2 linked regions of the Oryzias latipes genome follow. The protein of the gene in region 1 purifies or fractionates together with the protein of each later gene. This does not show direct contact. Links are inferred from orthologs where the notes say so. Each region holds a gene or a part of one and is shown on either strand. Other genes may lie near its edges.

Region 1 (3,329 bases):
GTGAAATTTAAAGTGCTCAGCATAAATGACTACACCCACTTTAATAAGTATTAATTTAATCAGTAACTCAATGAACAAAAGAAAAATTTCCAAACTTTCCACAAGTTATAGTTTTATTGAACACTTCTTTAATTCTATTACATGAAATAAAGGTTAATGATCTATCTTAGATCACATAATCTTCAGTTTTGCTTAAATTGGTTGAAGCAAAAATGAATACACCCTGGAACAAAAACTACTACATCCAGTAATTTGTATGAGCACCGGTATGTTTAAGGACAGCGCCAAGTCTTCTAGGCATGGCATAAACAAGTGGGCGATCTAATCTTTTTCCATTCTTCACTGAAACATCTTTGTCCTTTTCTGCTTGTTTAAAGTCCCACTCATTATAAATGTCATTTTTAGCCAAAATCAAAAACACTTTTCCCAGGACATAGTTTCTGCAGAGCGGCAGTAGTTTATTAGAAATTCACCTCTGAGTTGTGGGCGGGACTGCTGGCGTGGAGCAACCCCGGTCTCCCTTCCCCTTCCCGTTTGTGAGAGTTCTATATTTACATGCTCACCTGCCTGGTCACAGCCTCTCACCCTTTTAACCTAACATTAATGTTCCAACGAAAATGGTGAGCAATATTGGAGCTATCCAGCCGTACAGTTTTGAGCCAGATGCCAGCTTGAAGAAGGAAAAAAAAGACGTACATGGATCTGTTTGTCTGCAAGTGGATCCATCAGAATGGAGCGGAGCAGGGAGCTTGTGACTTGTGGCCTGCCCAGAGTATTTTCTACGTCACAACTTTGCTGCTTTTCAAACGTAGTTTTTTCGTCTGCCCCTGATCCACAATAATATTATTTTTAACTTTTCTTTATGTATGTCCTCCATCATGAGAAAAACGCAACAAGAACATGTTAACAGCACCAAAAACATGATTTCCATTGGTCTTTATAACCTTTAAATATTCTTTTTTAGGCACAGCAGCCATGCGAAACACCAAGAAAGGATCTTGGTTCATCCAGGAACTGAATACAGCACTCCGCCTCAATGCCAGAGACACCCACCTCGCTGACATCCTCGTGCAGGTGACAGATGTACTTTTTAAAAATGAATTTATTTGCTATAGTCCCATCAAAGGCTTTTCTAATCATGTCAAACTTGCTTTTTTAGGTCAACAAACGTATTAAGGAGAGGGAGGGTTACGCTCCCGGCACAGCCCACCATCGCTGCAAGGAGATGTCAGAGTTCACCAGCTCACTTTGCAAAGACCTTTACCTCTTCCCCAAGTACCAGCCCCAGTGTTGACATGCAAAAAGCGCACTTTAGGTTGACGGTTTTGTGCAGCCTCCCAAGCACGGCCGTCACGGCAGCTCAGAGAATGCCCCCTACTGCCACACATTCCCTGTTACAAGAGACCAACCGTGACCCGCCTCTTCCAGAGACAGGCGTTCACGTGAAAGTATTGGGAGAAAAAAGACGAGCAGGTTAGACAATATACAAGTAAAATCATGCTCTTCTATATATATATGTGTGTCTGTCCTCATGCCAGTTAGTGGGTTTGTATTTGATTTCTGTCAAACCCCACATTTACTCAGACCTTTCTCAAATCACTATTTTTAAAAAAGCTTTTTTGTTTTTACACAAATCTATTTTTGTGGCTTTATTTTCTACAAAATCGTTTTTTTTTGTAAGGATTTTTAAAGGCGTGTGTGTTTTTGTATTTTTAGTAAACTGACAGGCAGGTGGCAGCACAGCAAAAACCAATTCTTTTCATCAGCTCTTAATCATAAATATTTATACTCTGGAGATTAAAGTAAATCTGTAAAGTTAGGACCGAAGTTTGTCACTAAAAGTTATTTTTTTGTTGTTGGAAAAGTTTGAAATCAAACTTTAAAAAATAAAAAAAATCCCTTAACCTACAGGACAACTTCTAAAGGATGTCTTGAAGTTTTTATTAGTAATTTCTTTTAAAAAACCTGTGTATTATTACTCAAAAAAGCAGCATTTTAAACATGAATATCTACACTCATTATTTTCAGGTGAAGTCCTCCTGTTCATGTCAGGCTGATGGGCTAAACTTTGGTGCTACATTCATAAACAGAAACTCAAACTCATTTCTAGTGTTTCTCTCAATGTGGGAGTTTCATGGTCCATGGGACCGTACCTGATACAGGATGGAGGGAAGGTCTTTGCTTGCGCCTCCGTGGCTCTTTGCTCAGCCATTTTTTCATGCGGTGTATATGAAAGGTGCATGAGCATGGACAGGAAGTTCCCTGCCAGGACCAACTGTGTTCAGTCACCACAGTGTTGTAACAAAAAACAAAGAAGCCCACATGTGGTCCAGACAGTATTTGTAAGTGAAGATGCTGTTCTTTGCACAGCTTTATTCTCTTAATCAGGAGGTACAGTCTATAGAAAGGATCTCTGCAAATGAGTAAAATGAGACTTATTGGACTTGAGGAGATTGTGTCATCACTTCTGACTGCCAGATACACAATAAAACTCAATTTCTTTTAAAGAAAACAAAGTGTACGTTTGATTTTCTCGCTGCGTTTATGTGGAATGTGAGGCCTTTGCCCGAATGTACACCGCGGCTTCTCCTGTGCATGCTCCGCTGCATCTGATCCTCCTTGTTGCTGTGTTTGGGTGTGTTGTTGCCGGCGTATAGCCCCCCCCCCCTCCGTTCTCAGGTATAGTGTAACTGGCTCCCCACTCTTTGACTGCGCTGAGGTCTCCTCTGGCTGCGACTGAGATGGATGCATCTCCCACACGTATCGCTGGCGCTGCCTGCCGCCACCCACTGATAATGTTCTGAGTGTATCAGATTGAGGCTCAGCCAGCTGTCCAGAGTCACTCTCCCTTGACACACTCACTTAAACACACAGCGGTCAAAATAACACATTTCTGGCTGGCATCAGATGGAACTTGGAGATGAGCTTGATATGCGCTTGGCGTGTGGACCACAAAGCGGGGCGGGCTCCCTGTTTTTGTTTTTGTTCCTGTCCTTGTCATCAGAGAAGAGGGGGACTGCCGTGGGAGCTGCATAGTCTTATCTGTGAGGGATCAGGGGCCCTCACGGAGCGCACCAAAAGAGCTTTCTAGACGTAACGCAGCAAATTGAATTCAAATAAACCCTTTTTTTGCTCTTTTAGGATTTGTGAACCTGCTGTTTAAACCCAATGGGAATCACTTAACTCCTGAAGGGTTTTATTTATTTATTTATTGGGGGGGGGGGGGGGGGGGGGATTTTCTGTGGAAAAGAACATTTAGTGATTGGAGCTGCCTCAGCATGTGACTGCTGTGGGGATTGCCTTGGCGCATTGGCTTGCAAGGTGTGAGC
Region 2 (4,590 bases), on another chromosome or scaffold:
ATATATTTTAAACGTAGCAAACCCTTAGATTAGTTTATTTTGGATATTTAACAAATGGAATGATGAGGGTTAAAAACATGTCTGCAATTTTTTTTAGAAAAAGGTGATTTTCTGTCTTTTGGACAAATTCAAGATATATTTAGAATATCACACCAAGATTTTTTAGGTTTTCTCCAGAACTTTGTTCGGACCTCTCTTTCTTTCCCAGGTAACCAACCAATCCTACACCCAGTAGAATTCTTTCTTCTCAACTTGAATAAAAATGCCTCCTCCAAGAAGAAATTCCTTTCTCTCTGCTCTGCTATGGCATCGAACCCTCTCACAAGTGAGAAATCTGGGTATCGTTGGGAGGCAGATTTGGGGATTGAACTTGATGTTGAAACTTGGTCAAATGCTTTTGTGTGTACAAAAAAAACATTTACATGTAACAAACTCAGGGAAAACCAATACTGAATTTTACACAAGACCCAATATACTCCACAGGTTTTAGGATTCAACCACAACGCTCATCTCTCTGTATAAAGTGTAAAAACACTGTAGGAACTTGCTATCACTGTGTTTGGCAGTGTCAGTTGATCTCCAGATTTTGGCAAACTGTTGCTACAGGGATCCGCTCAATTTTTTCGTAAATCTTTTGCCCTGGACCCTACTTTGTTTCTTTTAGGCCAGTCAGGAAGGTTGCCTGTGTTACCTGGAAGTATGAGGTTGATCCAAAAACCTTTACACCTGCCTAGGAGATGTATACTGCTACAATGGATACAAGTGAAACCTCCATCCGTTACTCAATGGAAAGTTTGTCCGATGGAACGACTCAGTGCCCGGTTAAAGGGTAACTCCGACATTTTTCTACAAGACGTGGCAGCCTTATCTGGATCACCTCGAGAAATAGCTGATATACTTTGTTAAAGGAGGCTCACATTTTGTATTTCAAAGTAATAAGTGTTTTAAGAAAATATCTCAACATGTTATTCTAACCTAGATTTTGTGTGAACCTTTAACTAGTTAGATATCTGCTGTGCTGTGCTGGTTTGTGTTGTGTTCTTTTCTTACAAAGATAACAAAGTACAATTTAAAAAAAAAGATTAAAAAAATTACAGATGATATTTGAATATAACTTAAACCAGATCAAACCTACTGTTAGAGGAGGGCAGAAATAATTTATCCAGATTAGGTAAAGGATGGTTACTGACACTTATTTATCTAGAAAATAGACATGACACACTCTATTTACCAGGTTCTTAAATGATTAGACCAAAATATACATTTAGTTTCATATATAGAGGGACATTTGTATTAATTTAGATAATAAAACTTTTATTTAAAAAAAAAACAAGGCCTCACATTTTAAACAGTGATGACATTATTGTCACACAGCTAACATTTGTAACCAACAACGCCATCTAGTGTCCGTGTTGAGACAATGCCGCACACGTTTTCAAGTTGACAATGATGTCCCGCCCAGCGTTGAAACTTTGGCGGTGCCTTCACCGTGACGCTTGTTTTTGTTAGACACTGAACAAAAAGAGGGGCGGGACTTTCTCTCCACGCCATTTGTGTCGTGTGCAAACACCCGCCCCTCGCCAACCGGTAGACGCAGGAAATCTAAACGAACCTATAACTGTGACGTAATACCTCTACTTCAAAATCACTTGTTTCATCCGGAAGCTGTGTTTTTCGCTAGCTATGTAACTTTTTCGACAGTTGGTAAGCAAAAGAAAGAATGTAGCATGAAATAAAATGTAGTTCTAGTGTTGGCTTTAAAAAAAAGGCACATTCATTCCGTGGCTGGCTGAAAACGTATGTCGGTAACGGTTACCAGTTATCTTTGTTGCCACAGATTTGACATCTTTTCATCTGACGCACTAATGTAAACTTGAAAAGGACTTGTCAGTCGGCTTATTACTGTTGTCAAAATGTGTGAACTGTATTGATGGAGAGAGGCGGCGAAGGAGACCAAAGTTCTGATGAAGAAGAAGGTGGGGTCCAGGCGGCTGCTCAAAACACGCAACAGAATGAGTTGGAAGATGGAGAGAAGGTTGCTGCACCGGCAGCCAACCCGTTAAGTACACCAACCGAAGCTCAAAGGGAGCGGGGAACACTTTCAAACGGGGCTCAGGAGAATTGTGAGGAGGCTGGAGTCAGTATGTCACGTGATTTGATGCTTAAAAGCCAAGCAGGAGCTTTTGATCCAGAAAACTATGACAAAAGTGCATCTCCCTCAAGCCTTTTGGGTACTTGTGATCCATCCATATCAAACTCTTCATCCACCTCTTGCTCCTTCAGCCATCACGATATGGTGCTTTCATGTTCCTCCTCATCCTCCCATTCTTCTGGCTTGTCTCTGAGTCCACCATTGCCCTCCACCGTGGAGCTCTCGGCTGTGTTGACTGACACGAGACTGACCCTGGATGTGTACCCCGGGGGAGCAGGTGCATTGCCATTGCTATGGGGGTCCATTCCAGCCGAGCTGAGGGGCATCCAGTACCTGAGGCTTGGTTCTGAGGACAGATCCGGGCTGGACGGTGCCCTGAATGTGCTGTCAAACCTGACAGAGCTGCGCTCACTTGCTATCCGGGGTAATATTTCAAAGTATATTTGACATATCTGCAACGTTGTATTCGTTCTCCGCTGACCTGCCTTATTTTCTTTAAGGACACCGTCTGTATGACTCAAAGGGGACGCCTCTGCCTGGCCTCCTCACCACTTTGCCATCATCTGTGTCTTCTCTCACACACCTGGTGCACCTGGACCTCTCCTTCAATCAGCTGTCCTGTCTGCCGCCCTGCCTGCTGAGCCTGCCTCTGCTCTCCTCACTGCTGCTTTGTCACAACTTCATCTCGGCGTTGCCTCCTGAGATATGCCAGCTGTCCTCTCTAACCTACCTCTCCCTCCTGGGGAACATGTTGGAGTCCCTTCCTCCAAGTTTAAGTCAACTGAAGACACTGCAGGAACTTGACGTGTCGCACAACCTCCTGCAAAAACTACCTGAAGAAACCGGTGGTCTGAGTGAGCTTGTAAAGCTGGACTTGTCCCACAACAAACTAAAGCAGCTTCCAGAGAGCATGGGTAAGGGTTTAAGGGTGAGCAACATTTTTAATGATCTAAACCAACGTGAAGATATAATGTTCCTCTGTCCTCTTGCAGGATCTCTCTGTTCTCTCAGGGAACTTGTTATATACAGCAATCACCTCCGTATGGTTCCATCGTGTCTAAACAAACTGCCTCAGCTTAAAATAGATGCACGAGACAATCCTTTGGGAAAACCTCCAACACCTCCTCCTCTCCCTCCTACACTGGGTACAGATTGAAAGAAATCACACGGATTTTTCTCAAATAATTATCTGCTTCACACATTTATCAGCAGAACATTTGTTTAATTCCTTTAAACAGGTCGATCAGTGACAGAAATGCCTGAGTTGCACCTTGGATTTAATCAGCACAGGTACAGCGGGATAGTAACATTAAGAGCCATCTGATCATGTAATGCATTTGTGTCTATACTAAAGATTTGTCTATGTTCCATAGTTTTTGGGTTACTCCTGCTGGGTGTCATGTATTTCTTCCCGGGGGGGCTGAGCTGGTGTTCCCCTGCCGTTGCCTGCTGACAACTACTAGACTGAGCTGGGCGGAAAAGAGGCCAAACAGGAAGTGGGTGTGGCTGGAGGAACACGACCTCCTACTAAGTCGTCCACTGGAACTTCGTCCCCACGGTGTTGAATTTCTGAAGGTATAAATATGATATTCTTAGTTAAATGTATTTATTAAATGTAAACAACAATATTCAACCCAAACTAAATATGGTAAATGGTCTATACTTGTAAAGCGCATTTCTACCTTAGTCGAAAGCCCAAAACGCTTTACACTCTAAGTTCCATTCATGCACTCTACTGCCAAACACTGGCCCCAGGTTTCCACCAGAGGCAAGGTGGGGTTTAGTGTCTAACCAAAGGACACTTCGACACATGGCGGGAATTGAACCTGCAATCTTCTGATCAGAGGTCGACCGTCCTACCTACGGTGCACCACGGCCGCCTGGCAGTGCCCTCCCCCAAAAAAACCTGCTTTGGCAATGTCAACATCACGGAATATAACTTTATTTTCAAAAATAGTTTAAATCTGTAAATTTAAGATAATTAGATATATTCATTTAAAATTAATGAAATGAGCAATATGCATATGATTATTTGAAAAGAAAACACATTTGCTGCCTTTTACCAGTGACAAGCATGTATTTGGCTGCACGGTGGATCAGTGGTTAGCGCCCTTGTCGTCGTCAAGTCCTTTCTGTGTGGAGTATGCTTGGTCTCCCTGTGCATGTGTGGGTTTTCTCTGGGGACTCTTTTCAAAAACATGCTTCAAAGGTTTATGGGTTACTCTAAATGGTCCCTAGTTGTGAATGTGAGTGTGCATGGGTGTGTGTGATTTGTAGTCCTGCGACAGACTGGCGACCTGTCCAGGATGTCCCCTTCCTTCACCCACGAGTGGTGGGGGTCAGGGCAGCCCCATGACCCTGAAAGGGATAAAATGGGTCAAGAAGATGAATGAAAAAAAGAAAAGCATGTATGGTATCTAATGAAAGTTACCTCTCGT

What was found. Proteins that work in one complex are often made in the same cells at the same time.
Region 2: the proteins of casp2 (region 1) and p53-induced death domain-containing protein 1 purify together in Homo sapiens (affinity purification with western blotting; 5 studies listed by BioGRID and IntAct, with this or other methods). This does not show direct contact. The link is inferred for Oryzias latipes from reciprocal best matches to the Homo sapiens genes CASP2 and PIDD1.

Annotation. Positions count from the first base shown.
Region 1 is NC_019874.2:20,114,775-20,118,103, forward strand, and holds the end of casp2 (caspase-2), read left to right. Parts: intron 1-964; coding exon 965-1,074; intron 1,075-1,159; coding exon 1,160-1,294; 3' UTR 1,295-2,512; downstream 2,513-3,329. UniProt on the Homo sapiens protein: Is a regulator of the cascade of caspases responsible for apoptosis execution. Might function by either activating some proteins required for cell death or inactivating proteins necessary for cell survival.
Region 2 is NC_019864.2:15,844,330-15,848,919, forward strand, and holds the start of p53-induced death domain-containing protein 1, read left to right. Parts: upstream 1-1,428; 5' UTR 1,429-1,930; coding exon 1,931-2,576; intron 2,577-2,652; coding exon 2,653-3,066; intron 3,067-3,144; coding exon 3,145-3,297; intron 3,298-3,390; coding exon 3,391-3,442; intron 3,443-3,525; coding exon 3,526-3,727; intron 3,728-4,590. UniProt on the Homo sapiens protein: Component of the DNA damage/stress response pathway that functions downstream of p53/TP53 and can either promote cell survival or apoptosis.